2 linked regions of the Anolis sagrei genome follow. The protein of the gene in region 1 interacts with the protein of each later gene in a pairwise test. Links are inferred from orthologs where the notes say so. Each region holds a gene or a part of one and is shown in the gene's direction. Other genes may lie near its edges. The genes, in order: CLK4 and UBL5.

The links.
Region 2: the proteins of CLK4 (region 1) and UBL5 interact in a two-hybrid assay, tested with the Homo sapiens proteins (2 studies listed by BioGRID and IntAct). The link is inferred for Anolis sagrei from reciprocal best matches to the Homo sapiens genes CLK4 and UBL5.

What each region holds. Positions count from the first base shown.
Region 1 is NC_090022.1:87,942,244-87,957,726, forward strand, and holds the start of CLK4 (dual specificity protein kinase CLK4), read left to right. Parts: upstream 1-8,911; 5' UTR 8,912-9,068; intron 9,069-11,841; coding exon 11,842-11,993; intron 11,994-13,131; coding exon 13,132-13,333; intron 13,334-14,446; coding exon 14,447-14,537; intron 14,538-14,910; coding exon 14,911-14,977; intron 14,978-15,483. UniProt on the Homo sapiens protein: Dual specificity kinase acting on both serine/threonine and tyrosine-containing substrates.
Region 2 is NC_090022.1:147,589,407-147,604,748, forward strand, and holds the start of UBL5 (ubiquitin-like protein 5), read left to right. Parts: upstream 1-8,763; 5' UTR 8,764-8,835; exon of another isoform or gene 8,836-9,002; intron 9,003-9,076; exon of another isoform or gene 9,077-9,167; intron 9,168-11,247; 5' UTR 11,248-11,326; coding exon 11,327-11,382; intron 11,383-12,365; coding exon 12,366-12,449; intron 12,450-14,669; coding exon 14,670-14,707; intron 14,708-15,342. Other genes in the region: FBXL12 (F-box/LRR-repeat protein 12), read right to left, coding at 1-648, 4,070-4,142, 8,651-8,763. UniProt on the Homo sapiens protein: Ubiquitin-like protein that plays a role in cell proliferation and sister chromatid cohesion by associating with spliceosomal proteins. Participates thereby in pre-mRNA splicing by maintaining spliceosome integrity.

The sequences.
Region 1 (15,483 bases):
TTGGCCCCTTCCACACAGCTGAATAAAATCCCATGTTTTCTGCTTTGAACTGGAATATATGGCAGTGTGGACTCAGATAATCCAGTTCAAAGCAGATGTTTGTGAGATTTTCTGCCTTGATATTGTGGGTTATATGGCTGTGTGGAAGGGCCCTCTGAAGCTTGAAGCTGTTGGTGTAATCCTGACATGGCTGAATAAGCAATTTCTTTTTTCAGTTGAAAATCAGTTTACCTTCTCAGGTGAGCAAACAGCTGAAGTTAATCTTTCCAAGACCTTGAACAGCACTTGAAGCTTTTTCAGAATACCAGTCTTGGTTGTCTTCATATGTCACTATGAATCATGTTAAACTCCTAGTATGAAAATGATGTGATTAAAAAGAAGCTCTATTTCTACTTTTTAAAGCTTGGTTGTGAAAGGAGAGGGTATTTTCTGCAAATGGGGATCCAGTTTTAGCTATATTTGGGTTATAGTTGACTCTATGTACTTCATCATCATAGCTTACCATTTGTGGCTGAGCATGATTGTCCTTCAAGGGCAGAGTCTTGGCAATGGATTCATAAGTATCTGTGGAGACCTATTCAAGATCTGCATGGTCTTTCACAATGTAGACATAAATTTCCAGATGGAAGGCGGTCCCAACAAGGATTTGCTTGATGCGCCTTTCTCTTGGCATTGGCACATTTCTCCTTTTTGCTTTCTATTCCTGTCTGTTCAAAATCCATAGCATTGTTGGTAGCAGGTGACCTCCAGTTAACATGCTCAAAGGCCAGGGCTTCCCAGTTCTTTCTGTATTTCACTTTTTTTTTAAAGTTAGTATTAAGCCCATCTTTAAATATCTTTTGCTGTACACTGGCATTTTGTTCTCCATTCTTAAACTGAGAATACAGTAATTGCTTTGGGGGAGACAGTGATCGGGCATTCGGAGAACATGGCCAGTCCAGCGAAGTTGATGGCAAAGGATCCTTGCTTCAGTGCTGGTGGTCTCAGCTTCTTCCAAAACACTAGTGTTTGTCCATCTGTCTTCCTAAGAGATTTGCAGGATTATATCGTCTAAACTGAGTAACATTCCAGATCACTGTGGTTAGGACTCAGGTGTATGATGAATGATAGAGAATAGCTACAGTGTACATGACTGGTTGTGTAGAAAGAGCAATATATGTCTATTCTAAATTGGAAAATATTTATTAAGCTGTAACTTTTGAAGAAAAGACCTAATACATATGTTACATTTTTCTAGACAAGGGACTGTTCTCATGAGTAAATGGTATCTTTGAAATCTTAGCTGTCAGCATGTGAAGCAGAACCTGCTGTCCTGCAAACCAAATTGCTTTACAGATACAAGGAAAAATCATGTAGCATGCACAAAGTACATTATATTTTTATGAACAGTTAGAGGAATCATTTGCAAGAGTTATCACGCATGAACAACGTAAGATCTGAACTGGTCTTTACCATATGAGAAAAGCTCAGACCAAAATACACCCCAGAAGGTTTCAGTTCTGGATCTCCAAAGGACTGTGTGCAGTGTTCTGCTTGCACACAGCAGGTTTTTGGGAGATCCCTTTCTCACACTGCTGTCCTTTGTGTCTCCCCAAATACTGCTTCCGTGGTAGCAAATCCTCCCAAAGTAACATGCAGAGTAGCACCAATCTTGTATAAATGCATGCAGAAGTAGCTTCAGATCACATCTGCAGCCCTTCGGATCTTCACTATGATTCTTCCAACTGTGCCTCTAGCAACTCATCTACTGGCAACAAAGTAACAGGAATAGAAGTACTGCTTAAAAATTGCTTGTGAACATCTAATATCATTTGCTGCATTTTAACATCATAGTTCACTGAAAATATGTACAACCAATAATTAGTAGGAAAGGGTATGCTGCTACTTGTGCAGCTGAAAAAAAACCTCAATTGGTCAACACTCATATATTCTGTTCACTCACCAATGTTACATTGGATTTAGAGCCATATCTCTTCAGTCGGGCTTCTCCCTGGTAGGACTACAGCCTTCACCTGATCTTTAAACTATTTATGTATATTTGTGAAATGGTGGGATAAGGAAACACTGACATCGCTTGCATACTGAATCCTTGGATTAACCTTGAATCCTGTGTTGAAAGAAAGGTGGGGCCTAAATTAAATAAGTGAAATGTTGTACCACTTGAGGTGGTATAGTCAAAATGGGAACAAAATTATGGATTTTTCTGATGGTATAAACTGTTGGTTAATATTAGAATGATACAGTCAAGATTTTTTAATGAGACTAATTTAAAGGGTTATTTTGGGTATATGGGCTAAAACAGGCTTGGGCAAGTTTCAGCCCTCCAGTTGTTTTGGACTGTTAGGAATTGTGGGAGTTGAAGTCCAAAACACATGGAGGGCTAAAGTTTGCCCATGCCTGGCCTAAAATCTTGGGCACATTCTATACAATTCTTCTTTCTTTTCTTTTTCCTTAATAGTAAACTGCCAGGCCATAAAACTGACTAACAAGGTTGCTTGACTAACAAGGTTTATGTCTGGATTCAAATTATTTATAAATTACATTAACTCTAAAAACTTTGCTTAAAAGTGGGAGGTGTGTATTGATGCCTTGGGTTGTTAGAAAACAAGAACAAAAGGCACTTGAAGTAAATAAAATGATACTATAACTGTTTCCGGAATATGTTTTAAGTACAAACCATGTGTAACAATGCCACCCAAGTACATTGGTATTTCGAAGGATACATCTCCTCATATTGTCACTTGCATTTGCTGGTCAATCTGGAATCCATATATCATTGATGTGCAGGTTTGCTATTTCAAGTTCTTCTTCTTCTTCTTTTACTAATACTGTGACCACTATGGTGGACAAATGGTATGGTACTTGGAGGGGGGGGGGGGTGTTATCCTTTTGTGATTGTACATATCTTTACAAAATTGTAATGGTGATATGCTTGCCCTACTTTTCATTAATACTGTAAAACAGCATGGTCATGCGTAGGTGATAGCTGTTTAGGATGAACACATCCCATGATTTGTTCATGTTTCTAGCATTTTCTCATCCCCAGGCCTTTTTATACTATGGTTGTAAAATTGTTATAAAACCCTTTTGTCAGTTGTACAAGCTACTTTACCTATGTACAGAATTTATATGACAAGCCTAATTTATACTGTGTTTTAACAGTTTGCCTGAACTGTCTATGGTTTCTACATTTTGTAATGTGAGTGTAAAATTAAAAATATTGATATGTGGTTAATCCAGACATTGATTTTTCCTCCAATATGTACACACACTTATTCTTCTTGTGAATTGATATCAATCTGTACTACAGTCCTGGGATATGTCTACACATCAGAAGGGGAGGCAAGGCTTTGGCTTAAATGAATTCTGCCTTTCTGCGGCTGTCTGTCTTTCAGCTGTGATGGTTGTAAAGCCTGGCAGCTGTGCCACTGTTCGTCTGCTGTCTACCATTGTAGCAGGTGGCCCATAGCAACGAAGGCCTGGCCTTACACCACTTCCACTTAAGTAGACCTAACTGTTCAGCTCAGTTTATTAATAGCTATATCATGCTCCACTTTTGGTTTCCAAACCCAGCAACTGAAAGGACTTCATCAGCTGAACAGAGAAGAAACCTGCCAGATATTGCTTTTACTGAACAGACAAGAAACCTGCCAGATATTGCTTTTGCCACCTTAGTTCAGCAACCAAACTACTGTCCTACCCATATCCCTTTATACCAGGGGTCCTCAAACTAAGGCCCGGGGGCCGGATGCAGCCCTCCAAGGTCATTTACCCAGCCCTTGCTCAGGGTCAACCTATGTCTGAAACGACTTGAAAGCACACAACAACAACAACAACAATCCTATCTCATCAGCCAAAAGCAGGCCCACACTTCCCATTGAAATATTAATAAGTTTATATTTGTTAAAATTGTTCTTCATTTTAATTATTGTCTTGTTTGTAAGTGGTTTTTGAACTACAAATAAGATATGTGCAGTGTGCATAGGAATTCATTCATGTTTTTTCCAAATTTTAATCTGGCCCTCCAACAGTTTGAGGGACTGTGACTTGGCCCTCTTATTAAAAAGTTTAAGGACCCCAGCTTTATACAGTACAACAGAGTTAACTGTAAAGTTAAGGGTTTTTCATCCTTATAAATACAGCACTGCAGCTTCTGAGTAATTTTCATTGTGCTTTATCATTGCCTTTTGGTATGTCCATATGACACAAGTCTGATATCGCTAACTGTCATGGTCATAGAATCATAGAGTTGAAAGAGACCTTGTGGGACATCCAGTTGAACCCCCTGCCAAGAAGCAGGAAAATCGCATTCAAAGCACCCCCAACAGATAGCCATCCAGCCTCTGTTTAAAAGCCTCCAAAGAAAGAGCCTCCACTACACTCTGGGGCAGAGAGTTCCACTGCTGAACAGCTCTCACAGTCAGAAAGTTCTTCCTAATGTTCAAATGGACTCTCCTTTCTTGTAGTTTGAAGCCATTGTTCCGCATCCTAGTCTCCAGGGAAGCAGAAAACAAGCTTGCTTCCTCCTCTCTGTGACTTCTTCTCAGATACTTATATATTCATATCTGATAGAATCTTAGGAAATATAGTTTAGAATTTCAGAGGAGCTGATGGTAACTATCTGGCATTAAAGTACTATAACTGTATGTTGTTTTCCTTCTGCTCTCAAGTGGTTAGGCAGAGCTTTCAAAACATTTGATGTTGGTAACACACTTTTTAGACATGCATCTTTTCATGACATATTCAATTTTACTAGCAAATTAGAGGTCAAACTAACCCCTTGTAAAAGATACGGACACGTACATTAATTGTAAATAACTAAATGTATGCGGATACAAGGAGCCCCCGGTGGCGCAGTGGGTTAAAGCACTGAGCTGCTGAGCTTGTTGATCGAAAGGTCACAGGTTCGATTCCGGGGAGTGGCGTGAGCTTCCGCTGTCAGCTCTAGCTTCTGCCAACCTAGCAGTTCGAAAACATGCAAATGTGAGTAGATCAATAGGTACCGCTCCGGCGGGAAGGTAACAGTGCTACATGCAGCCATGCCAGCCACATGACCTTGGAAGTGTCTACGGACAACGCTGGCTCTTCGGCTTAGAAATGGAGATGAGCACCACACCCCAGAGTCAGACATGACTGGACTTAATGTCAGGGGACTACCTTTACCTTTACCTTTACTATGCGGATACATGTATGTATGAGATCATGAAAACCTTTATTTATTTATTTTTAAAAAATATTATTTGTAAGATAATAACATACATTTCCAAGATTTCTGGTATTTCTTATTATTTTCATGTGACACACCTACACACTGCAGCCAATACACTGACATGTCGCAACACACAGTTTGGAAAGCTCTAAGTTTAGGTAATACAAATGTTTACAATAAATGCCAAAGTGTGGCTGAACAAGAGAGCAATATGCCCTACCAACCTCTGAAGCTCTTCTGATTTACAGCAGCCAGGGCCAAAGGGGTGTTTTTGCCAAGCTGTGTTTATTCAAGCAAATGTCTACAGTTTCAAAACTCTTTTCTGCAGAAGGCAATGGTGGACTAAATACGTCAGGCTGGCATATCTGTAGGGTCAAAATCAATTCCCTTTTGGGGCAAAGAGCAGGTCTGGATTCAGCAAATCTAAAGAAGACTCCTGCCTGCCTCTGATCCCAAAGCAGAGTTCATTCCCTTTCACCAGCCAGAACATCTGGTGCATTTTGTGTGTTTTTCATGCTGTTGCCCAGCTATTTTGCTTTGCCAAAGTACCTCCTCTTGTCTCCTCTTCCCAAACTGCTTTCGAAAATTAATCTACCATTTTTAATAGAAGGACCACGATGTGCATTCTTTACATCTGGAAAGAAGGATACACACCGTTATTGCTACTTTGTTAAGACATTATCCTTTAAAGAATTATATTGATGCATTCAGAATATTTTGGCCAACACCTCTGCAGCTCCTTCCTGATTGGGGAAAGGGCAGACCTGTCTCCTTCAAAGGTATGTGGAATGAAGCAACCTATGGCTGTAGCACTACTGCCATCTGCTGGCCACAAAGGAAGATAATTAACACATGTTTCAAATACTATAGTGAGGCAGAAGGGCAATGCGGTCTTACAGTTTGAGGGCCCTTCCACCCAGCCATATAACTCAAAATCCCAAAATCCCACAATATCTGCTTTGTTCTGGGTTATGTCAGTCCACACTGCCATCTATTCCAGTTCAAAGCAGATGTGGGATTTTATTTAGCGGTGTGGAGGGGGCCAGAGTGTTGAACCAGGACTCTGGAGGCCAGGATTCAAATCCCTGCTTGGATATGAAAGCCAAAGGGTGCCCTTGGGGAAATCACATACTCTCAGCCTCAGAGGAAAGTTTGCAAATACTTGAAAGCACACTATTTATTTATTTACCTTATTTATATCCCACCTTTCTCTACCCTGAAGGGGACTCAGAGTGGTGCTAACATTGTGCCTTAAAACATACAATACTGACTTAAAATAAACTGGATTAAAATTAATACAAATTAAACAGAATAATCCATGGATCAGAGTCTAAGGTCATTCTGCAGTTAAATTGTACATTATTCCACTTTAGAGTTATTACACTGCATTGGTTTTCAAAAGCCTGAAGGCTTGGAGGGAGGGGGCTGATGTAATATAGCTCAGAAGGAAGTTCCACAGCTGAGGGGCCACCACTGAGAAGGCCCTGTCTCTCGTCCCCACCAGCCACACTTCCAAGATGGTTCACAAAAACAAGGCTGGAGTTAAAATTTCTGGAAGAAAAATTAACAACCTTAGATATGCAGATGATACCACCTTGATGACCGAAAGCGAAGAGGAGCTGAGGAGCCTTCTAACCAAGGTAAAAGAAGAAAGTGCAAAAGCTGGGTTGCAGTTAAGCATAAAAAACCCCAAGATTATGGCAACAATACTGATTGATAACTGGCAAATAGAGGGATGGATGGTCTTCTTGAAGTGACTGGCTTGACCTTGAAGGAGCTGGGGGTGGTGACGGCCGACAGGGAGCTCTGGTGTGTGCTGGTCCATAAGGTCACGAAGAGTCGGAAGCGACTGATTGAATAAACAACAACATGCCATATAATACAATAATAACGTTGCGGATGTTGTGGGTGAGATTTGTGGGGGGGGGGGGGATGTTTAGCTTTCAAATGTAATTATAATTGTATTTTAACTTTTGTATTCATGACACAAATATTTAATTGTTTTTACTTTCTGTAGATATTGTAATTGCCTTCTGTTTTACATCCTATTCTGTTGTGTCATGTTATTGCTGACCACCTTGAGTCCTTATGGAGAGAAAGGTGGTATAAAAATAAAGTAAATAAATATATAAATACATAAATAATACTATAATATGTTGTCGAAGGCTTTCATGGCCAGAATTATTGGGTTGCTGTGAGTTTTCTGGGCTGTATGGCCATGCTCCAAAAGCATTCTCTCCTGACGTTTCACCCACATCTATGGCAGGCATCCTCAGAGGTTGTAAGGATGCCTGCCATAGATGTGGGTGAAACTTCAGGAGAGAATGCTTCTGGAACATGGCCATACAGCCTGGAAAACTCACAGCCACCCATATATATATTTCTGACAACCTTGAAGAGAACATTGGGTGAGGTCATCCAGAGTTTTGGAGTTGGGTGCCACCTGCAAGTAGATGACACCCAACTCTATTAATCATTTCCACCAAACTCCAGTTCAGACCCTGCCTATGTTCGCAATCACATCTTTCTGGGTTGTTGTAGGTTTTTTCAGGCTATATGACCATGTTCTAAAGGCATTTTCTCCTGACGTTTCGCCTGCATCTATGGCAAGCATCCTCAGAAGTAGTGAGGTCTGTTGGTACTAGGACAATGGGTTTATATATCTGTGGAATGACCAGGGAGGGGCAAAGGACTCTTGTCTTCTGGAGCTAGGTGTGAATGTTTCAACTGACCACCTTCATTAGCATTTGATTGCCTGGCAGTGCGTGGAGCAATCTTTTGTTGAGAGGTAATTAGATGTCCTTGTTTGTTTCCTCTCTGTTGTTGTGCTGTTGTAATTTTAGAGTTTTTTAATACTGGTAGCCAGATTTTGTTCATTTTCATGGTCTCTTCCTTTCTGTTGAAATTGTCCACATGCTTGTGGATTTCAATGGCTTCTCTGTGTAGCCTGACATGGTGGTTGTGAGAGTAGTCCAGCATTTCTGCGTTCTCAAATAATATGCTGTGTCCAGGCTGGTTCATCAGGTGCTCTGCTATGGCCGACTTCTCAGGTTGAATCAGTCTGCAGTGCCTTTCATGTTCCTTGATGTGTGTTTGGGCAATGCTGCGTTTTGGTGGTCCCTATGTAGACTTGTCCACAGCTGCATGGTATACAGTAGACTCCTGCAGAAGCGAGAGGATCCCTCTTGTCCTTTGCTGAACGGACCATTTGTTGGATTTTCTTGTCCTATAGCAATGGGCCATAGTGTTCTGCATTCTGCATTTCTCACTCTGTAGAAAGAGGCACCTGTAAGACCCGCCTTCGCCACCCTTCCAGCCAATCCGGCGAGTCCTCTCCGCACTCCCACCCGTGATTGGTAGCCGCGTGCTGTAGGCGGAGTCTCGGCGCTTGTTTTCCATCGTGACTTCAATACCGAGCATGTGCGTCAGAGAACGCTCCTTCTTAGCCTAGAGATAGGAAAAGGTATAGAAAGAAAGTCAAGCTAGATATGCAGTTGGGTACAGACAGTGAGCAAAATAAGAGCCTCGGGTTCTTCTTTTCTATTTAATATATGAGAGCCCTTTCTGTAATTGTAACTGCACACAGCGTTCAGCTCTAACCAGGAAACTTCCTTCTGTCGTGTTACTCTATATTTGAGGTGCCAGTCTACGTGCACTATTTGACGTTAGCAGCGCTTGTAACGTCATCACGTAATCCCCTCGTCGGCTAAAGAAGGCGAGGCAGCGGCCATTTTGTTTGTTGCTTTGCGGGCGGTGTGCTTCGGGGCTCCGTCAGTCGCCCACAGTGAGGGAGGAGGAGGAGGAGGGTCGGAGGAGGCGCCCCGGGTTCCTTTCCGGAGACCTGCGTCGAGGCAGGAATGTAAGTCTGGAAACAGGAAGGCCTCGCCGTCCCTCCTGGGCTTCGCCTTGGAAGCAGGCCCGGCCTTTCCCCTTCGGCCCGCGACGGAGGCCTTCTTAAAAACACATAGTAGTCGGTGCTCTTTAGGTTCAACCCAGTTTGGGTCCCCAGATAGTATTGAACAGCAACTCCCATCACTCCACCATACGGACTGGGGATAATGGGAATCCCAACCCCACGGCACTTGTGGGTCTGAGGCTGGGCCAAAGGTAACTTACAGCCTGCCCACAAGCCTTGTATCTATATCCACACCCCACCATCCTGACTGAACAGAACAAACTGCAGCCTTACAGATGATACTGCATCACAACTCCCATCAGCTGTAGTCATGAGGTCCAATAATGAGGAATATATTATTCTATTCATTTATTATGCTATTCATTTGTATCCCGCTTTGTCTCCCCACAGTCTAGCATCTGGTGGGCCATCTCAAATATTTTTATTTATTTATTTATCGTGTCAGGAGCAACCAGAAATTTGTATTACATTTTTAGCAAAACAGACAAAATACAAAAGTTTGCAAGCTTGGTAGTTGATTAAATCAAATGACATGGACCAAATTAGGCTGCGGGCCTTGAGTCTGGCGCATGTGTTCTACTTGGTGGCATCTAAATGATACCCGATAGCACAACGCTTCTGCTATCAGAAAATGTAGCTAGAACTATGTAAATACTTGCAGTATTTATTATACATGGTGTGGTTTGAGAGTTCACACTGACCCATCCACACTGATCATTTAATGCCGTTTCAAACAGGCATTGGAGAAACCTGTTTTGCTGTGCAGGTAATTACACAGGAAATGTGGCCAAAAATGATGATTACACAAACCACAGAGCACTGATACACATGAAGGGCTTTTGTTCGAGTGTGTTTGTGGGAGTTAGTTGTTTGGCTGTCACAGTTCAAAGCTAGCTGGGTTTCAGATGTTCCACTGGGTACAACAACGCTTGGAAATAAATATATATAGGAGACTTGCATTCCTTGTTAAAGATAAAGGTTTCCCCTGACATTAAGTCTAGTCACATCTGACTCTAGGCGGTGGTGCTCATCTCCATTTGTAAGCCCAAGAGCCGCCAACGTTGTCCGTAGATGTCTCCAAGGTCATGTGGCCAGCATAACTGAATGGAGCGCCTTTACCTTCCCACGGAAGTGGTGCCCATTGATCTACTTACATTTGCATGCTTTCAAACTGCTAGGTTGGCAGAAGCTGGGCCTAATAGCGAGAGTTCCCCCCACTCCCTGGGTTCAAACTGCCGTTTGGTCAGCAAATTCAGCAGCTCAGCAGTTTGTTTATTTATTTATTTATTTATTTGCTGCATTTATTAACCGCCGCTCTCAGCCCTGAGGCGACTCGCGGCGGTGTACAATATACAAAAAAGACAGTTTACAATGAGCCAACATGACAAAAACTAACATATCACTACTACACAGACATCTAATTACACTAAAATAATCCGCTTTGTCTTATCGTAGAATCATAATCCGTCTCGTAGTCATATTCCGTTCCAGTTGTCATTTCCAGTTACTGTAGCACTTAATTAAATGCCTTCTCGAATAGCCATGTCTTCAGGCTCTTCCGGAAGGACATAAGGGAGGGCGCCTGTCTGATATCAACAGGGAGGGTGTTCCACAGCCGGGGGGCCACCACCGAGAAGGCCCTCTCCCTCGTCCCCGCCAGACGTGCCTGTGAGGCAGGCGGGATCGAGAGAAGGGCCTCCCCAGACGATCTCAAGGTCCTCGTGGGCTCATAGGCCGAGATGCGGTCCGAAAGGTATTTTGGGCCGGAACCGTTTAGGGCTTTGTAGGATAACACCAGCACCTTAAATTGGGCCCGGTAGCAGATCGGCAGTTTAACCTGCTGTGCCACCAGGGGGCCCAATTTAAGAGCCTTGTTAACTGCCATCAAATTCTATGAATGAGACATCTCCAAGTCACCATGTTGTCAGTAGTCATGTTCATGGCTTTCTTGATTGAGCCTTCTCACCATGGCGTGGTAGTGTGCTCCTTTAAGGAAATTGTCTATGCTGATTGTAGTGTTGCTCTTAGTAGGGGCTTTCAGGTCAGGGTTTTATTGAGCCAGACTAAACATGTTCAGCAGCTGCTGAGCAGCAACAAGCCAGAATGGTCTCTTCCCTGCTGGCCTTCCGGTGTCAGGTGAAGGCTTTTCTGTTTAGGCCAGCTTTTAAGAAAAACATTTTTGAAGTCTTAAGTCAGGGGATATGGTATGGGATTTTGGGTACTTTAAATTTGCCTTAATTGTTTTAATTGTTCATTTTTAGATAGTACTAGGTTTAAAGTTTAATGTCTACAGGCAGTCCCCAAGTTACAAACATCCAACTTACAAATGATTCATAGTTAAGAACAGGGGCAAGACAACAGGAAGTAAGAGAATCTACCTTCAGAAAGGGAGATTCACTCCTGAAAGAGTTACAATGGAGAAAAAGTGAATCACCAGTCCTTGTTTCCACACAAAATTAATTATCACAGGGACAGAAAGTGAGGTGAAATCTTCTGAACAGGGGCACAAGCCGCTCTGAGTCCCCTTTTGGGGTGAGAAGGGCAGCATATAAATGCCATATATATGTATAACAATTCATAGTATAATCCCCATTCATTACACTTTAAGTTAACATGATTGACATGAATGTGATTTTGCTATAATCTGTCTTTTTAAATTTATCATTGTCTGTCATATAATATTCTCATTTCATTTTGGTATATTTTCATGTGATAGATGACGCACTCAATGCCATCCCACTGCTCTGAATGGAATGATGGAAGAAACTCAGATGAAGAAAAGAGTACCAATAGTCACAAGCGCAGGAGGCAGTCCCACAGCAGTGAGAGACATGACAAACACTATAAATCACTTAAAACTGCAGACAGGTAAATTACTTGAACTTAATGATGATCTAATTGTAACTAGGTTTAACTTAAATTTTAAATTGATTAACATTTGTCACTTAAGTTATCATTTTCATATCAACTCTTACCAGAGTAGTTATCAATCCACTTATATCTAGTGATATTGCATGTGTTGTTAATGTCATTTATTCATCTTAAGGACTTGAATATGAGGGAATGCTGTTTAAAGGATGATTTAAGAATGTAAATGTTGACATAAAAATAAGCTTGAGTCTGATTCTCTCTTTGATCCAGTAAATTGAATGAGATTTTAAGCTCCAGAAATGTCTGCTGTCAGATTGCATATGGGTATGTGTATAGGTTTTAAGCAATATATAAAACAATTTCAATGTATCATGTAGATATTATTTTATAATTGTCTATTTGTTTTTATTTTTAACCTTTTATTGGTTTTTATGTAATCCCTGAAAAAACCTATTGTAATAGATACACAAGCCAATATGTGTTGGTCGTTTTCTAAAATTAAATAAAGACTATCAACTTGAATACTTGGGGACATGACTCCTTCGCCTTTTCCCCGTGGATTCCTTTGCTGATCTCCAGGACCTGCCTCTATTAGGGGAAAAAAAAGATAGTTGAGAAAATGTTGTTGGTTTCATTCCAAACCATAGAATAAACATGTTTTCAAATATGTACAGGTTTTTCTGGCACCCTAAATTAGCAGATATTATGGAGCCATAGACCCTTAGTAGTTTTAGGTGTCATGGAGTAACATCTCTGAACAGAAGCTCTATACCTCTATTGTCTTGGCTAACCAATTATTGCCTTCAATAGGGGGGGTGGTTCCTAATTTGTAGTTTTCCAGAAAGTACAGTAGGTTGAACCCAATGGCACTTTGAATTATAGCTGGGATTTGGTGCAGCACTCTTTGTCTGTGTAGGTTGTTTTGGTGATCACTCTTCTATATTTACAGATTTAGGGGGAGTTGTAACTGTTGCCTGTGAATAGCTTACAATCACACTTTAAATCTTGTGCCAAACTGGGTAAATAGATCTAGTACATACCCTGACATATGTGTAGGGATTGCTTTGGTGACAGAAAATATTTCATGTTCTCTTTTTTAAGTTGGAAAAATAAGTCATATATATTTTTTCAATAGATCCACTCATAAGACAGACCATCGCAGCAGGAGATATGTTGAAGAATACAGAAATGACTTTAATGATACAGATGACCAGAAACATTATAATAGAGATTATGAAAAGAGTCACTGTCATCATTATAGCAAATCATCTCATCAACACAGTAAAAGTCATAAAAGAAAGCATAAGAAACATGACTCCACCAACAGCTCGCATTTGGTATGTATAGATTTAAAATATAATAATGGTATTACATTTCTTCGCAGAATATGAGATTCTGTTAATGTAAATGCTTGTAAAATGCATGAGAAAGAATTGAACTTGGGTTGCCCTGATCATGTATATTTGCATCTATTTAGATATTTGGGGATATAGTGAATGGAGTTAAGTATATAATTCCAGATTTATTGAGTTTTTACTAATTTTTCAAGTATTTTGTAAACGCAGATGATTACTTAGTATTTCAGATTACATTGAGAATATAAAAATAACCAAATGCTTCTGTCATTTTAACTAGTGTTACATCATTATGGAATGTATCTAGAACTTTAGAAGTCTTTAATTAAATGAAAATACCATGGTGTCTGAATTGATTTCAGCATACCTCTGTGGAGTAGCTTAAATTGTGGCAACTGTTGGTCATTTATTAAATGATGCTATTGCTTACTAATAGAAATGCTTATATTATGCTACTTAGCAAGGAAAGAACCCCAGGTTCCTAATAAAAAGTATGGTGCAGCCTATATATGTATGTATTCAGATTTAAGATTTTTAAGGTGCTATTGAATGAATACATTTGGAATTTTAAATTGTAATTGTATTCCAAGAAATCTAAATAATGCCACTCTAGCTTTTCAAAATGAGGAACAAAAGATAATTGCGCAAAAAGTCTATTGTTGATTTTAATAATATATAATTGCTATTTTAAAACATTTTGTTTGAAGTTAAAGAAGATCATTCCTGATTATAATTTCATAAAACTAGACATGCACATGACAACATTGTTTCGAATAACAAAATTATTTGCATTGCAAGTTTAATTTCAGTCTTCAAGTAATCTAGTATCTAAGAGACAAACTGTATTGTGTTTCTGTTGTCTTGCAAGAATTTTAAGAATTTATCTGAAAATCTGTTCCTTGCCATGTTTTTCTTCTGTAACATAAACTGTGCCCTGTGAATTTCTGGGGACTGAATTTGAAATTGCTCCTGCCAACTGTTCGTGGCCTGGTGCGTAACTGAATTCCTGAATATCCCCGCTGAATGAATTGCGTATTCTACCCTGAATTCACTCTGATATATTGATTGGCTGGACGATCTTGGTGCCGTTTCCAGAAGAGCCACCGAAGGAAAAGATCCAGGAGTGTAGAGGATGATGAGGAGGGTCATCTGGTCTGCCAAAGTGGAGACGTACTAAGAGCAAGATGTATAGAATATTTTTCAACACTTTTTTAAAAAACCTTTCAGCAAAACATCTGTTTAGAATAGTATGTTAGACGAGGAGTGGGGCGGGGTTAAAAAACCTACATTGCTCTCTTTTGTCTTTTATTTTGTCTTTGTGTTGTTTTACTTTTCTGTTCTTTTCTGTATTCTTAAATAATTGTTATTCAATACTTTAGTAGTAAATGAAGTTTTAAGGCTAGACAGATAGCTAGTTATCTGTTTCATGACAACTGTCCAATGGAATAACACATCCAAAGGCAGATACTAAATTAACGTTTTTATAATGACATGCTTAATTGCTTACACCATTGTTCAACTTGTTCAGCAACAGATGCAATGTATTCTTTCTTTTATAGATGAAATTATTGCCACTTTAGGGGAGGGTGCTTTTGGAAAAGTAGTAGAATGCATTGATCATCACATGTAAGTACGCAATCTCTCCACAGTTATCTCCAAGTTATATATGAAGTGTATATGAAGCATAAATGAAATTGGTGTGTAGACCTGGGTCCCGTTATGTAATTATGTATGTATATGCAAATCCAAGTATTCCAAGACTCCCCCCCCCCCTCCCCAGCCGCAAAAAAAAAATCCAAAACATTTTTGGTTCCAAGTATTTCAGATCCGGGTACTCAATCTATAATAAAGATAACCTGAAAAAGAGAATGACAGATATGATCCAGTGAAGCCACTTTCTTTCTAACCTTCACTGTTGCAGATTCTGCAGCTGATTGATGCAACTAGTTTGATCGTGGTCTGTGAGACTTGCTGCAATGAAGTTCTCACCATTTTAAGTTATGACCAGAATTTGATCAAGTTTCCATTGTAAAATGTTAACCGGGGGGGGGGGGGGGGGGGATCTTAAAAAGTCTGCCCTTTGATTTCAGCGTCCAGTTAAATTTATTTAAAAATAAAAGCTAATGTTAGGT
Region 2 (15,342 bases), about 60 Mb from region 1:
AGAAAGCCTGCTGAAGAAGTCCAGGCGGAGTTCTTCCAAATCTGGCAAGCTGGCCAAGCAAGGGAGGCCTACATCTGTCAGAAAATCAGTGCCCCCAAGGTGTAAGCTGTGCAAGTGCTTCATGTGGCGCCCAATGAAGTGCATGGCTGAATTGCCAATCTGACTATGGAGCAATGTGAGATGCTCAAGGCCTCCCAGATGGGGTGCTGCTGTCTGGATTCCCGCATCTGTTACTCGGTAGGTCTTGGACAAGACAAGAGTCTTAAGAGTGCCCTGTCTTGAGATGTTAAAGAGGTGTTGGTTTGAGAATGCAGGGACATTCTGGATAATCAGGTGCTGGATCCTTGGGAAATCCTTGCAGGCCTCGGCAGCTTCCGGGACTTGGAACCACACTGAAGGGATCTCACAGAAGCTCAGCTCCAGGGTCGTGAGAGAGGAGGGGAGACAATTATAGGGAAGGGAACGGAGGTCTGTCTTGGTCAGGCACAAGTTGTGGAGATTAGGGCATTGCTTGCCCAAGGCCTGCATCAACGCTGGGGTAAACACATCTTGCTTCCGAATGGAGTGAAGGGATCCCTGGGCCTTCAAAGTCTGCACAGTGCCTCGCAGATAATTCCTCAGTAGATACCACAAGACTTTGGAGGACACCTGAGAGGACGGAAGTAGATTCAACAGAGAAAACATGCAGATTAAAAGTTGCATGAGTTAAATTGATGTAAGATGGTTGGAGGGCTTATAAATGCTTGAAACAATCGTTATGGCAACAAACCTGCAGCCACAGACCCAGGAAAAAGGCCCAGTCCACTCAGCAGAACCTAGCCTTTAAACCCATGCATAAGTCTAGAAATTTTACTCAAAACCCTGGATCGACTTATTCACAGGTCAATGTCAGTACTGTGTCTTAACTTTTAATGAAAGAGAAACCATTGGGTTCTCTGACAGCAATTATGAAAATGCAAGTGCACAGGATAGGGCTGCATACTAGTATTTAGGTTTAACATTCAAAATTCAGCACTTCCCCCCTCCCTAATTTATTTTCTTCACTGATTGTTAATTTAGAAATGGAAATGGGTTGGCTAGCTCTATAGAGATGCATGGTTGGAGAAACAGAGGAGTTATAGCCTAAAGTAAAAGGTATACAGTAAAGCTATTGATGTTTGGGTGCTATGTTCAGAGACTTCTGGCCCTTAACATTGGGTAAAATCAGCCCAATTTTAACCTGCATTAAGTAAACTCAGGAAAGCTCTGGAGGGCTTAGTATGAATAGCTCAGCTGGTTCCAATTCAAATTGATTCAGTTGTTTATACAAGATAGATTGCCATTCGCCCTGGGCCCCCTTTGGGGGGAGAGGGCGGAATATAAATAAATAAATAAACAAATAATAATTATTATTGGTAGTAGGAGTTTTCCATGTGCTCCATTGAGAAAACAGGATGGCACTTACCCTTTGTTTGTTTGTTGCTGCTCTGGAGAGTACTCCTGAGAACTCCTGGCTATAGCTGGGGCCTTTGTTTACATCAGCAAAGGCACCCAGCGATAGCCAACTGCTAAAGGACCCAAACTGCTTTTGTGACCCAAAAAAAGGAGAATCACCCACTCTTTTTCCCAAGTCATGTGAAAGCCTTTGCTGATGTCAGAAAAGGGGGCCTCGCATTGGCCCTGATGCAATCCAGAATTCTGTTTCCATTGCCATGGTGACAAACAACTGAAAAGGTAAGAGTGACTGGACAGCAGGGCTGGACTGGATGGACTCAGCTCTGCTCCCACTGCTGCCATGGTTCAAGAGCAGTGAGGTGAAAACACCTTAACAGAATCCTTCTAATCTGCCCTGAATTTAGGTGCCCATGTAGATGGGCCCCTAAGAATCATAAACGTTGTAGTTTGGTGATTGTGACCATGTGTTAGAATATTCTGCCCTCTCCAAATAAGTACATCTATATCTCAGATGCTTCCTCGTGGCAGTCAAAAAGTATCTAACCATGTGGGTGGGCTTTTTATAATGTAAATTGTGAATCTTTCATGTAAGGAAAGTTCCACTGTACAAGATTATAATCTGCTCTGAACCCTGAGGATGTAACTAATAGGGAAGGTTCATAGCCAATCAATGTGGCATAGCCAGTGGGTTAAAGCACTGTGCCGGCAGGACTGAAGCCCGACAGGTCGCAGGTTCGAATCCGGGGAGAGGTGGGTGAGTTCCCTCTATTAGCTCCAGCTCCTCGTGCGGGGACATGACAGAAGCCTCCCACAAGGATGATAAAACATCAAAAATCATCCAGGCGTCCCCTGGGCAACGTTCTTGCAGACGGCCAATTCTCTCACAACAGGAGCGGTTGCTCCTGACACGACAAAAAAAATAAATAAATAGCCAATTAAAGATGGCTGTGGCATGCTTTGTGACCCAAAACAAGGAAACATGGAGGCAAAGAGCAACATGCACCCAGCTCTGCAGCTAACAATGAAACTGTTAAAGTTTATAACTCCCAAATTCAAAACGCATCTGAAATCGTACTGCATGGGAGATATGCTGTTATACTGGCTGCAAAATTCTTCAGACTCTTAGTCTTTACCCACATAATAACAGAGAAATCCCTGCTCAGCCATGAAAACCCACTGGGGGATCTTGAGCAAGTCATACCTGGCCTGAGAGGAAGTCAAGGGCAACCTCCCCCCATGAGCAGACTTTGCCAAGAAAACTCCATTAAAAGATTTGATGTAGGTCGGAAATGACATGAATGCAGAAACATATGGTTTTAGCCCTTCCTGAAAGTGTGTTGGCAATGGCTTTTGGAGGCTGAAAAGGTAACTGCACCACAGTGCAAAGCTATTTTTTAATGTATTAACTTTATTTCTACCCCGGCTTTTTCCCTATGGAGACTCAAGTTGTCTAACAGCTACACAATCTGATCAAAGTTTAAAACAAAGCAAATAATTTAAAAAAAAAAAAATTAAATAGCACTTTGTAGATATAAAGTTAAACTATAGTTAAAATATAATAAATTAAACTTACATTTAAAAATCACAATTCCCCACCCCAGAATCCCACACACAACCTCCCCAGCAGCATGCCCATCTTTCTACCTTAAAGGCTTGCTGGCACAGAATGCAAGCAGGGAAGGGCCAATCCTGGTTTTTTGGTAGGGGGAGGAGGGAGTTCCACATACTGGGAGCATCCACCAAAAAGGCCCTCACTTGTTCCCACCAAATGCACTTAATCGGGTGGTGGGACAGAGAGAAGGCCTTCCCAGTTGATTGTAGATATCTGAGAAGTTAATAGAGAGAGATATGGTCCTTCAAATAACCTGGACAGAAGCTGTACAGGGCTTTGTAGGTCAAAACCAGCACTTTGAATTGTGTCCAGAAATAGGCTGGCAGCCAGTGGAGCTGTAGTAACAGCAGAATTGTCCACTCCCTGTAGCCAGTCTCAGTCAGCAGTCTGGCTGCTGCTCTTTGGACTAACTGAAGTTTCTGAGCACTTTTCAAAGGCAGCACCATGCAGAGTGCATTACAGTAGTCTAACTGGGATGTAATGAAGACATTTGCAACCGTGGCCAGATCTACCTTCTCCATGAATGGGTGCAGTTGGTGCGCTAGCTTTATACAAAAGCATTCCTGGTCACTGCTAATACCTGGGCCTCCAGGTTCAGAGCTGAAATTTAGAGTACCCCCAAACTGTGAACCTGTGTTTTCAGGGGGAGTGTGACCCCATCTAACACATGCTGAATCTCTATTACTAGATTGGTGTTATGACTGATTGGCCAACTTCTGTCTTGTCTGGATGAAGCTTCAATTTGTTTGCCCTCATCCAGTCCATTACAGCTGCCACAGACTAATTTAGCATAGAAACGGATTCCTTGGCTTTAGGTGGAAAGGAGTAATGGTATTACAGTTCATCTGTGTACAGATGGCATCACACTCCAAAATTCTGGATGATCTCTCCCAGCGGTTTCATGTATATGTTGGGGGGCAACACAGAGTCCTGAGGGACCCCAATGGCCAAGGAAGTACCCCAGCAATTCCTGATCCTTGCTCACAAATACCTACTAATGTGCTGGAGTTTGACCATTGTTACCTTGTAAGAAGTTAGATCCAAATGCCTCCACAGAAACTTGTCCCGCACCAGGCGACGCCACCTCTTGCAAACCCTGTAGAAAGATGTGATCAGTTGTTATCAACTAGTACTTCTCACCCAAAGGCAGTGACTGGGTGGCTTCAATGCAGAGGATCTGAACAAGTGGGTTTACATCCACAAAAGTTGATATTGAAATAAAAACTAGTTTGTTTTAAAGGTGATGCTGTTTCCCACTCCCTCCTTCCTTTTTATGCTGCAAGAAATTAACACAGCTGCTTCTTTGAAAACTGTAGTCAAGGATCCTGTTGCAGAAGTAGTGAGGAAACTAATTGGAGGTAACTGTGAAGCAATGCCACATTGTTGGTGTGCATGGAGAGGAGGGAGCAACAGCATATACATAGTAAGCACTTATATAGAAAAATAAATTGTTTCAGAATTCAGTCTGGATGAGGGGTTACTTCTCTGCACAAACTAGAACTTCATATTGGGCGAATGGATTTTGGCAATGTCCAAAAACTCTCTCCACTGATGAACACCTCTCAACATATGTAGGCCAGGGACTTCTTTGAAACTACATTTCAGGACACCCATTGAAGAGGGAAACATAGGGACAACAGGATTTTGAAGAACTTCTGCACCTGAGCCATTCTTAAGTGTTTAACTTGCATTTCCTTAGGCAAGCCAAATAGAAATAACACCGTTTCAGCTTATTTTTATTGGATCAAAAGGGCCACATCCCCAAAAATGAATGCCAGGACTTCATCACACTGCAACAAGATGCATTAGGGTCCCCAACTAACCATTTGTAAGCTTATAGCTTTTGTTTCCCTTTGATAGCTGCTCTAGACATGCCTTCGGAGCAGCCCTTCTGCACTGCTGGAGCAAACATGCTGCTTTGAAGGTACACAGTAGCGCTTAGAGAGTTGCCTTGATATCTTACAAGGCTCCAAAGCAGGCCTGGTGTTTCATAGTCAAAGCGGCGGGGGGGGGGGGGGGGGGGGAGAACAAAGCAGAAGGCAAGAATATCTCCCTTCCCTGTCACAAAGGCTCCTGTATCTTTAACAAAGGAGTTAGTTTTATGTTGCTGTCCATATTGCGCTCTAAACTAGGAATGAAGATCTAGTGGCCACCAGATTCTTTTCTACTTTATACAACAACTACTACTACTACTACTACTACTAATAATAATAATAATAATAAATCCTTATTTATATGTGCTTTTCTCCCACAATGGGGACCCAAAGCGGCTTCCAACATGGTAAAAACACAATACAAGTTAAACAACAATCAAATGCATGAATATAAAACAGATGGAATTCACTGGGTTGCTGTGAGTTTTCCGGGCTGTCTGGCCATGTTCCAGAAACATTATCTCCTGATGTTTCACCCACATCTATGCCAGGGATCCTTAGAGGTTGTGAGGTCTGTTGGAAACTAGGCAAGTGAGATCTATAGATCTGTGGAATATACAGGGTGGGAGAAAGAACTCTTGTCTGCTTGAGGAAAGTGTGAATGTTGCAACTGGCCACCTTGATTAGCATTTAATGGCCTTGCAGCTTCAAAGCCTGGTTGCTTCCTGCCTGGGGGAATCCTTTGTTTGGCAGTGTTAGCTGGCCCTAATTGCTTCTTGTCTGGAATTCCCCTAGTTTTTGAGTGTTGTTCTTTATTTACTGTCCTGATTTTAGAGTTTAGTTAATACTGGTAGCCAGAATTTGTTCATTTTAATGGTTTCCTCCTTTCTAGTGAATTTAGTTTCCAAGAACCTTGTCAGCTGAAATAAGATGACTATTTCCTGTTCCTTTAACGGCTGTGCAGAAAGAAGTTCTGCAGGTGTTGTTTTCAGGACAATATAAATTGATTCCCCATTATGCATGTTCCATAAAGAGGCAGAACCCCTGTGCCTCATTTTGCCTGTCAACAACTCCCAGAAACCCCAAGCACCATGACCAACCACTGGAGGGACCTGCAGTCCCAAATACCTAGATGGAACAGGCATCCTATCGCTCACTATAGACCAGTAGTTCTCAACCTTCCTAATGCCCCAACCCCTTGATACAGTTTCCTCATGTTGTGGTGACCCCCAACCATAAAACTATTTTAGTTGCTACTTCAGAACTGTAATTTTGCTACTGTTATGAATCATAATGTAAATATCTGATATTCATGATGTATTTTCATTCACTGGAGCAAATTTGGCACAAATACCCAATACACCCTAATTTGAACACTAGTGGAATTGGGGGGGGGGGGTTGATTTTGTCATTTGTTAGTTGTATTGCTGGGATTTATAGTTGATCTACAATCAAAAAGCATTCTAAACTCCACCAACGATGGAACGGAACCAAACTTGGCACAAAAAACTCCCATAACCAACAGAAGGAAGGGTTTGGTGGGCATTGCCCTTGAGTTTTGGAGTTATAGTTCACCTATGTCCAGAGAGCACTGTGGACTCAATGATGGATCTTGAGCAAACTTGGCATGGATACTCAATATGCCCAAATGTGAACACAGGTGGAGTTTGGAGAATATACACCTTGACATTGGGGAGTTGGAGTTGCTGGGATTTATAGTTCACCTACAATCAAAGAGCGTTCTGAACCCCACCAATGATAGAATTGGGCCAAACTTCCCACACAAACCCCCCAATACCAATAGAAAATGTTGTTTTATTTAACTGTTTATTTTGGTTATGGCACATAACAGAAAAGCGAATCGTGACAGATATAATCAGGTAACAATATTTTTGACGTGTACATGCCTATCTATCTTAATCAACCAACCAGTTAATTTTGAAATTGAGTACAAATTATTATCAGTTACTTAACTTAAAACACAGAGACTTGCTATTTCTGTATGTTATCCACTACTTTCAGTCAAAGCTTTCTATTCAATTTTTTCCCATTACATTCAGAAAATCAGCACATGGCATTTTACACACAGCAAACCACACACTCATCCCAGAACCCTTATCCCACACAAAATAAAACCTCTTCCCCACACCCGTGCACCCTTCACCATGACTTCCAACACTGAAACACTATGAAGCCTTTAAGCCTATTTATCTATCCTTATTCACGGTAAACCTAAATTCCTAATGGAGCTCCTCTATGTTGGTTGTAGGTTTTTTCGGGCTATATGGCCATGTTCTAGAGGCATTTTCTCCTGATGTTTCGCCTGCATCTATGGCAAGCATTCTCAGAGGATGCTTGCCATAGATGCAGGTGAAACGTCAGGAGAAAATGCCTCTAGAACATGGCCATATAGCCTGAGAAAACCTACAACAACCCAGTGATTCCGGACATGAAAGCCTTCGACAAGACTCCTCTATATTACTGACTCTCTTGTATTCCTCCTGTTATAAGTTAGTCTGGCCATTAGCATACGCTGTGTTTTCTGCTGGTCTTTGGAGACCCTTTTGCCATTCCCTCGTGATCCCCCACAGGGGTCCTCACCCCCAGGTCGAGAAACGCTGCTATACACCCTGGGCATTTAGTCTAAAAGTGCCAGATTCTGTCTGGCCTTGGAAGTTAAGCAGGCTCAGCCCTGGTTAGCACCTGGAAGGGAGACCACCAACGAATACCAAGTGCCGTAGGCGATATATCTGAGGAAGGGACTAACACAGTGTTTCTCAACCTGGGGGTCGGGACCCCTGGGGGGGTCATGAGGGGGTGTCAGAGGGGTCCCCAAAGACCATCAAAAACCACAGTATTTTCTGTTGGTCATGGGGGTTCTATGTGGGAAGTTTGGCCCAATTCTATCATTGGTGGAGTTCAGAATGCTCTTTGATTGTAGGTGAACTATAAATCCCAGCAACAACAACTCCCAAATGTCAAGGCCTATTTTCCCCAAACTCCACTAGTGTTCACATTTGGGCATATTGAGTATTCGGGCCAAGTTTGGCCCAGATCTATCATTTTTTGAGTCCACAGTGCTCTCTGGATGTATGTGAACTACAACTCCCAAACTCAAGGTCAGTGCCCACTAAACCCTTCCAATATATTTCTTTTGGTCATTGGAGGTCTGTGTGCCAAAATTGGTTCAATTCCATTGTTGATGGAGCTCAGAATGCTCTTTGATTGTAGGCAAACTATAAATCCCAGCAACTATAACTTCCAAATATCAAAATCAATCCCTTCCCAACCCCACCGGTATTCAAATTTAGGCATATTGAGTATTTGTCCAATTTGGTCCAGTGAATGAGAATACATCCTGCATATCAGATATTTACATTACAATTCATAATAGTAGTTCTGAAGTAGCAACAACAATAATTTTTATGATTGGGGGTCACCACAACATGAGGAACTGTATTACGGGGTCGCGGCCTTAGGAAGGTTGAGAACCACTGGACTAACAGAACCTCTTCTGAGCCTTGGAGAAACCTTTGGGACGCCAGGAAGGAGAGTGATGCGGACTGCCCTATCACATCACACCGCAGCTGCCATGGCAACATCCAATAGAATGGGAGGAGCCTTCTGACTCTTCAGCAGAGCGCTGTCGGGCCTCACTAAACTACATCCCCCAGAATCCCACGGCAGTTAAGGGTGGGAGAAGAGCTCCCTCCCCGCCCGGAGCCCTCACCTGGCTCCGCCCACTCGGTCACGTGGGGGCAGCCACGCCAGGATCTCGAGCAGGAGCGAGTCCGGGAGTGTGGCGAGGCTGGGCACCGACATGGCTGAGTGTATGCCTTCCATTTGAGAGCTTCTCCCGCCTTTCCTTGGAACGTTCGACCAGGCTCCTCCGATTTCCGCTTCCGGGCGTGTGAGGCACGTTTCCGCTTCCGCTTTCTTCCCCCTTCGGGCTTCTGCGTGAGTTCCTCCGTGACTGTTTCGGCCCGCTTTCCTTGGGGTAGGTGAAAGGAGCAAGGCCGGCTGCTTTAGCCCTCCAGGCCCCGGACAGTGGCCGGGAAAGCTCCCGAAGCCCCCAGAGTGAGGTTAGCTGTGCTTCTGTGGGTGGCTCTTCTTTTACTTCTCCGGGGAATTTCAGGCTGAACTGAAATTCGGGTGCGAAGGGACTCTTTCCTTTCATCTGGTATTATTCTGATTCTGATTGGTGGATTATTCAGAGCCAGCGTCGAACCACGCCTCTGGAGTCTAAGGTTTGAGCCCCCACTCAGCTATAGACACTATATGGATTCTTTGAGCGATTCACATTCTCTGGGCCTCTGAGCAAGGCCAGGTCCCATCTACCCTGCCATATAATCCAGGTTATCTGCTTTAAACTGGATTATTTGGCAGTGTAGACTCATATAAACCACTTCAAATCAGATAACCTGGTTTCAGAAACTGGATTATATGGCAGGGTAGATCCAGCCCAATTTTTGCCAAGAAAGCCCCGCAATAGCTTCTCCTCAGGACAAATTGAAAGATGGCTTGAAGTTGAACAGCCACAACACAGGCTGAGTTTCCTTTACTCAAGATGCTTGGTGCCAGAAGTGTTTTGGATTTTTTAAAATTTCTTCAGATTTTGGAGTATTTGCATGTACATAATGAGATATATGTATGTGGCGTTGGAGGAAAGTGCCGAGAGTGCCTTGGACAGCAAGAAGATCCAGTCCACACTTCAAGAAATAAAACCTGGCTGCTCATTGGAGGGAAGGAGAGTAGAAGCCAAGATGAAGTACTTTGGCCACATCATGAGAAGACAGGAAAGCTTAGAGGAGACAATGATACTGGGGAAAATGGAAGGAAAAAGGAAGAGGGGCCAACCAAGGGCAAGAGGGATGGATGGAATCCTTGAAGGGACTGGATTGACCTTGAAGGAGCTGGGGGTGGTGATGGCCAAAAGGGGGCTCTGGAGTGGACTGGTCCATGAAGTCATGAAGAGTCGGAAATGATTGAGCGAATGAACAATGAGATATCTTGGAGATGGGAGTCTGAACACAGAATTCTATTATATTTCAATGTATTGAAGGCTGTCATGTCCAGAATCACTGGGTTGTTGTGAGTTTTTGGGCTGTATGGCCAGTGTTCCAGCAGCATTCTCTCCTAACGTTTCTTCTGCATCAATGGCTGACATCTTCAGTTATTCAGAAGACTCACAGCAAGAATATAGTTTATTTAATAATGATAATAATTTATTTATAGACTGCCTTATCTCCCCAAAGGGACACAGGGCGGTTTCAAAAAAACATGACAAACATTCAATGATAAAAGAAAACAGTACAAACAATTTACATCAGGACTAGACACATTGGAAAATATAGAGCAACCTAGCTGCAACATAATAAAAAATGGAGAAAAATAAAAACTCCATAAAATGCAAAAATCCCGATAAAACGCACTAAAAATATAAACTAATTACATCATAGTGCCATTGGGTGAGGTTCAGCAATACCAATGGCTAAGATGGAGCTGAAAAATATAAGGGCTGAGCAAGGAATAGTGTAAACAACATGTCATAGGGTCGGGGAAGTGAATGAATTGCAGAACAGGCGACCTAGAGACTAGGCCTATGTGTATGCCTTATACACATAGCTTGGACATAAATTTATACAGAGGGTTGGACTCCTCCCCCCCCCCCAACCTTATACCAAACTTCTTAGTGTTTAAGGTACCATTATAGTCGTTGTTTTTGCTATGACAGGCTAACACATATAACATTATAGAAATTGCTATTCTTTTTATGGCTTCTTAAAATGGTAGTGTTCCCATGATTGATTGTACCTCTTGGATGTCAGTGCTTCCATTTTTTCTTATTTTGAGCAATACAATAGTTTAGGAGTTAATAGGGGTTAATAAACCATTCTGGAAGAGTTATGTAATACAGTTTATATAAATATGAGAAGGTTTAAATAAGGAAGAGTACAGCAGCGGAGCTTCTCAATTAATTAATTTTGTATCCTGTCCCAGGGCACTCAGTGGCCTAGTTGCTCCCAGATGAAGGGCCAATAGTATTATCAGTTGAATTACATTGTACAGTTATCCACTATTAAATGGATGAAGTGGTGGAAAATCCTGTGATGTTACAAGTGGAAGACAGGCATGTCTGGACTTACCCATAACGTTCTGTGCGGTAGGGAGTATGATATTATTGTACAAATCTCAGCTAGATTCACTCAGAATTTGGGAATTCCGACCTCACTCTCTTTTCCTGAGATTGTGCTTTGAAAAAGCAAACAACCCCTTCTCTATCTGAAGTGACTGATCACATTTTTCTCTGTTTCTTTCTTCCAACAGTACCCCTAAAGGCAGGAGACTAGAGGTCTCCTAACTCAGCCGTTTCTTGTACACTGATTACCATTGACACCGGATCGGGATGATTGAAGTGGTTTGCAATGATCGTCTGGGCAAGAAAGTGAGAGTCAAGTGCAAGTATCCAAAACAGAAATATGTAATTTTTGAACACCTAGGGGGAGCTAGACTATATTTTCTAGCCTTATATTTAATTTCTGTTTTATTTGTGAAGACTCTTGACACATACAAAACAGATACTTAACAAGGGAAATATCTGTGATGAGAACTGTTCACTTGAAATATGAGCACAGTGTAACATAAGTGTAGGCGACTGTGAACATAAGAAATGACTCAGAAATTGTCTTAATAGTCACTTCCTTTTGAAATAATGCTTTCTCCTATTCCAGCAATTTTCTGAGCAACAGTATCTGGAAGGCTTTATAATTCCCCTCGCTTGGTTTACTCCCAAGTATGGGATCACTCTAATACGTTGTCTACATTTGGACTAGAATGCCTGTTGTCAGGCAAGTTAAAGTTCAAAAAGCAACAGCTCAAGCAGAATGGATATAAGAATGGATTAAGGCACATGCTTAATGGAGAAGATTGGTATAGAGTGAAAGTGTGTGTGTGAGAAAGAGCATTAGACAGGTGTTTAATAATCTCTAAACTGAAGGTAGTGCTTTTTTAAAAAAATAAGCAAAAAAAATAAGCAGGAAGCCTTGGGTCATGTGATACTGCACAAGCATAACTTTTTTTTGTGTTGCAGTAAACAAATTTTGTTCAAAGATGGAGAAAACTCTACTTAGGAGTGTTTTTTTTAAATAGGTGTTTTGATTATATATGTTTAAAGATTACCCACCCTAGGTAGGGATGTTAAAATATTGAAATATTTATATTTTTTTTCTCCAGGATTTAGGAAAACACATATAATGGTTCCAAAGATGTATGTGTGGGAAGTAAGGAAAACAGAGGGGAGGGAGAGAGGTGGCCGGTAGAAGATTTATGCACGACCGCAATGTGTATTCCATTTAATAATCTGAAAAAAACATTAGTCTCTTAGAGTTTATCACAAAGAGGCCTCCACTTGAGATACATTTTGCTTAACTGGTACTATTGCTCAGCTCTGATGACACCATCCGGGACCTGAAAAAGCTAATTGCGGCCCAGACTGGAACTCGGTGGGACAAGATTGTACTAAAGAAATGGTGAGTAGAAATGTGGACAGATTTCAATAAAAGAATGGTACTTTTGTTTCAGGCAGAATTGTATATGGCATTACTGTCCTAGTCTAGTTCTGAGAGCCAGAGTTCAAGAGCATCATTTGTGTCCTGAATACAAGAGACCCAAGGATAATATATAAAGGCTGTCTCCCCTCTCCCTCCTGTGCAAAAGTACAGCTATCCCAATACATTTGCGGGTTAAGCATTGTGCATTTGTGGATGCGAGTGAATTTGCTGTGCTGTCTCTTGAAGCAGAGAGCAGAGTAGCGACAATGTCAGTTGCCACCCACCCTTCACTAAAGGTTTACAGACTTTGGTTGGGGGTTGATGGTGACTGAAATCATTGCTATTCCACTCCCTGTAACTTCAGGGGGCAGAATAGCAATGGTTTCAGTTGGCATTTCCCCACAAAAGTCTGCAAGTCTGTAGACTTTGATGTGGGATGATTACAACTGAAGCTGTGAACACAAGACCTGCAAATGTGGAAGACCAATTGTATTTTATTATAAATATTTATTTATTGCCTCCCAGCCAAAATGGTTCTCAGATAATTCAAAAGGATCATAAAACAATAAAAATTATAAACTAAATAATTTCAAATTGTACTCAACAAGAGCTCACAATGGCAGAATATTGTCACTCCAGAATTCCAGATAAACTCAATCAGAAAAGGAACAAAAATAATTTTGCTTTCCTCTGAAGGAAGATAGCTTTGGGAAGAGGCTCTATTTCTTATTGGTGGGTCTCTGAACTGCCTCATTCAGGGTTAGTCAGGCCAGATTCCAATTCAGGAAGGATCCTGAGGACGCATTCTAGCAACAAGCAGTGCTTGGAAACAAGGAAAGAGTAGGTTGCTCTGAACCAATGGGACAGGGCCAAATATACATACATACATATATACATATATATATGTATATATATGTATTTTCCTCTCAGGCATAGCTCTGTCCATGCATATTCACTGCAGAATAAGCTCAGCACAACAGTGCAGGTCATTTTCATGGAAGGTCTTTAAAGTTTGAGTAGCTGGTTCAGCGCGCGGCAGCCATGTTACTAACTGGAGCGGGTGGCAGGGAGCACACAACGCCCCTGTTGTCCCAGCTCCACTGGCTGCCGATTTGCTACCGGACCTAATTCAAGGTGCTGGTTTTGGCCTACAAAGCCCTAAACGGTTCCGGCCCAAAATACCTTTCGGACCGCATCTTGGCCTACGAGCCCACGAGGACCTTGAGATCGTCTGGGGAGGCCCTTCTCTCGATCCCGCCTGCCTCACAGGCACGGCTGGCGGGGACGAGGGAGAGGGCCTTCTCGGTGGTGGCCCCCCGGCTGTGGAACACTCTCCCTGCACACATCAGACAGGCGCCCTCCCTCATGTCCTTTCGAAAAAGCCTTAAGACATGGCTGTTCGAGAGGGCATTTAATTAAGTGCCAACATTACGGTAAAGAAGAATTGGAATGGAATAAGGAATATGAGACGGGTTATGATTCCACTATGAGACGAAGCGGATTTTTAGTGTAGTCTGTAAGTGTTGTTAGTTTAGATGTTGTTGAACTGGCTTTTGTAATTGTCTTTTATGTGTACTGTACACCGCCATGAGTCGCCCTTATGGGCTGAGAATGGCGGTTAATAAGTGCATCAAATAAATAAATAAATAAATATTATCTCTAATCTCTGATGGGAAATAACACTAGTAAAGCCCTATGGGCAAGATGAGGAACCCATGCAGTCCAAGGGCATTCCATCTGGAAGTTGTGGAAACAGAGGGGTGATGAGTATTATTATTTTGTTTATATTCTGCCCTATTTCCAATAATGAGACTTTTGACAGTTAACAACATAGACCTAAATATCTCAAGTCTGTAGGGCATATAGAAAGAGACACTCCTAGCATATTTTTGATTCAGTCATTTAAAGCTGTAGAAGTCATATCCACAAATTACATTACATCCCAAAATAGAATGGCAACTTATATCTTATTGTAATATATAATAATCACAGGAAGTTACTCTTACAAACATCCAGTTGCTTCTGCTGCAAGATAATGTTTGGAGCCATCTTTAAGGAAAATTCCATGTAAAGCCCATTGTTCCCAGATTGTTGTGTGTGTAATTATGTTAATTTCATGTTTTAACAGAAATAATTGTCATTGTTAATTTGCTTTGTGTAGCAAATTAAAATTAACTATATATATATTTAATGTTATAGGTACACAATTTTCAAGGACCATGTGTCACTGGCAGACTGTATCCTTAATCCTGGTGGTTGACAATAAGTAAGAGCTTTACTATATGTACAGAGAAGGGAACAGCACTCATTAATCATCTTTAAATTCAGTAATGTTATTTGGATAGTTGCTTTGAAATCATTTCCGATTTATTTATACTTTTGCAAAAAGACTTGCACAAAATACTCTTAGCCAATAGACCAGAGTTTACTTATATACATTTTTGATTCTACTGGGTCTTTATGTATTCTCTTTTTAAAATATTTGTATTCCACACTGTATCTGGAGATCATAGAAAGGTTTTACTGAATTTTAGACAAAAATTGATTAAAATACCCAGTTCTATAACTTGCTTCCCTTTTTCATCATGCAAACAAGAGCTGAATAGAAAGTGGACATTTTAAGTTCTTCTTGAATAATGTGTATGTGTTTAGATGTGCACAGATACAAGCAGAGTAACAGATTTGGGGCTTTCACATTTTGTATAATGAAATTTTGATTTTTTTTTTTTTGGAAAATACAATGTTTTCAGAATAAGGCATAAAAGTGGGAAATTCTGCCTTTGCTCTCTTAAAAGGAACTTAATGTGACAAACAATCCTAAAAACTATACAATAGACAATTCAAAACCTAAAACATATACAGCCAAAAATAG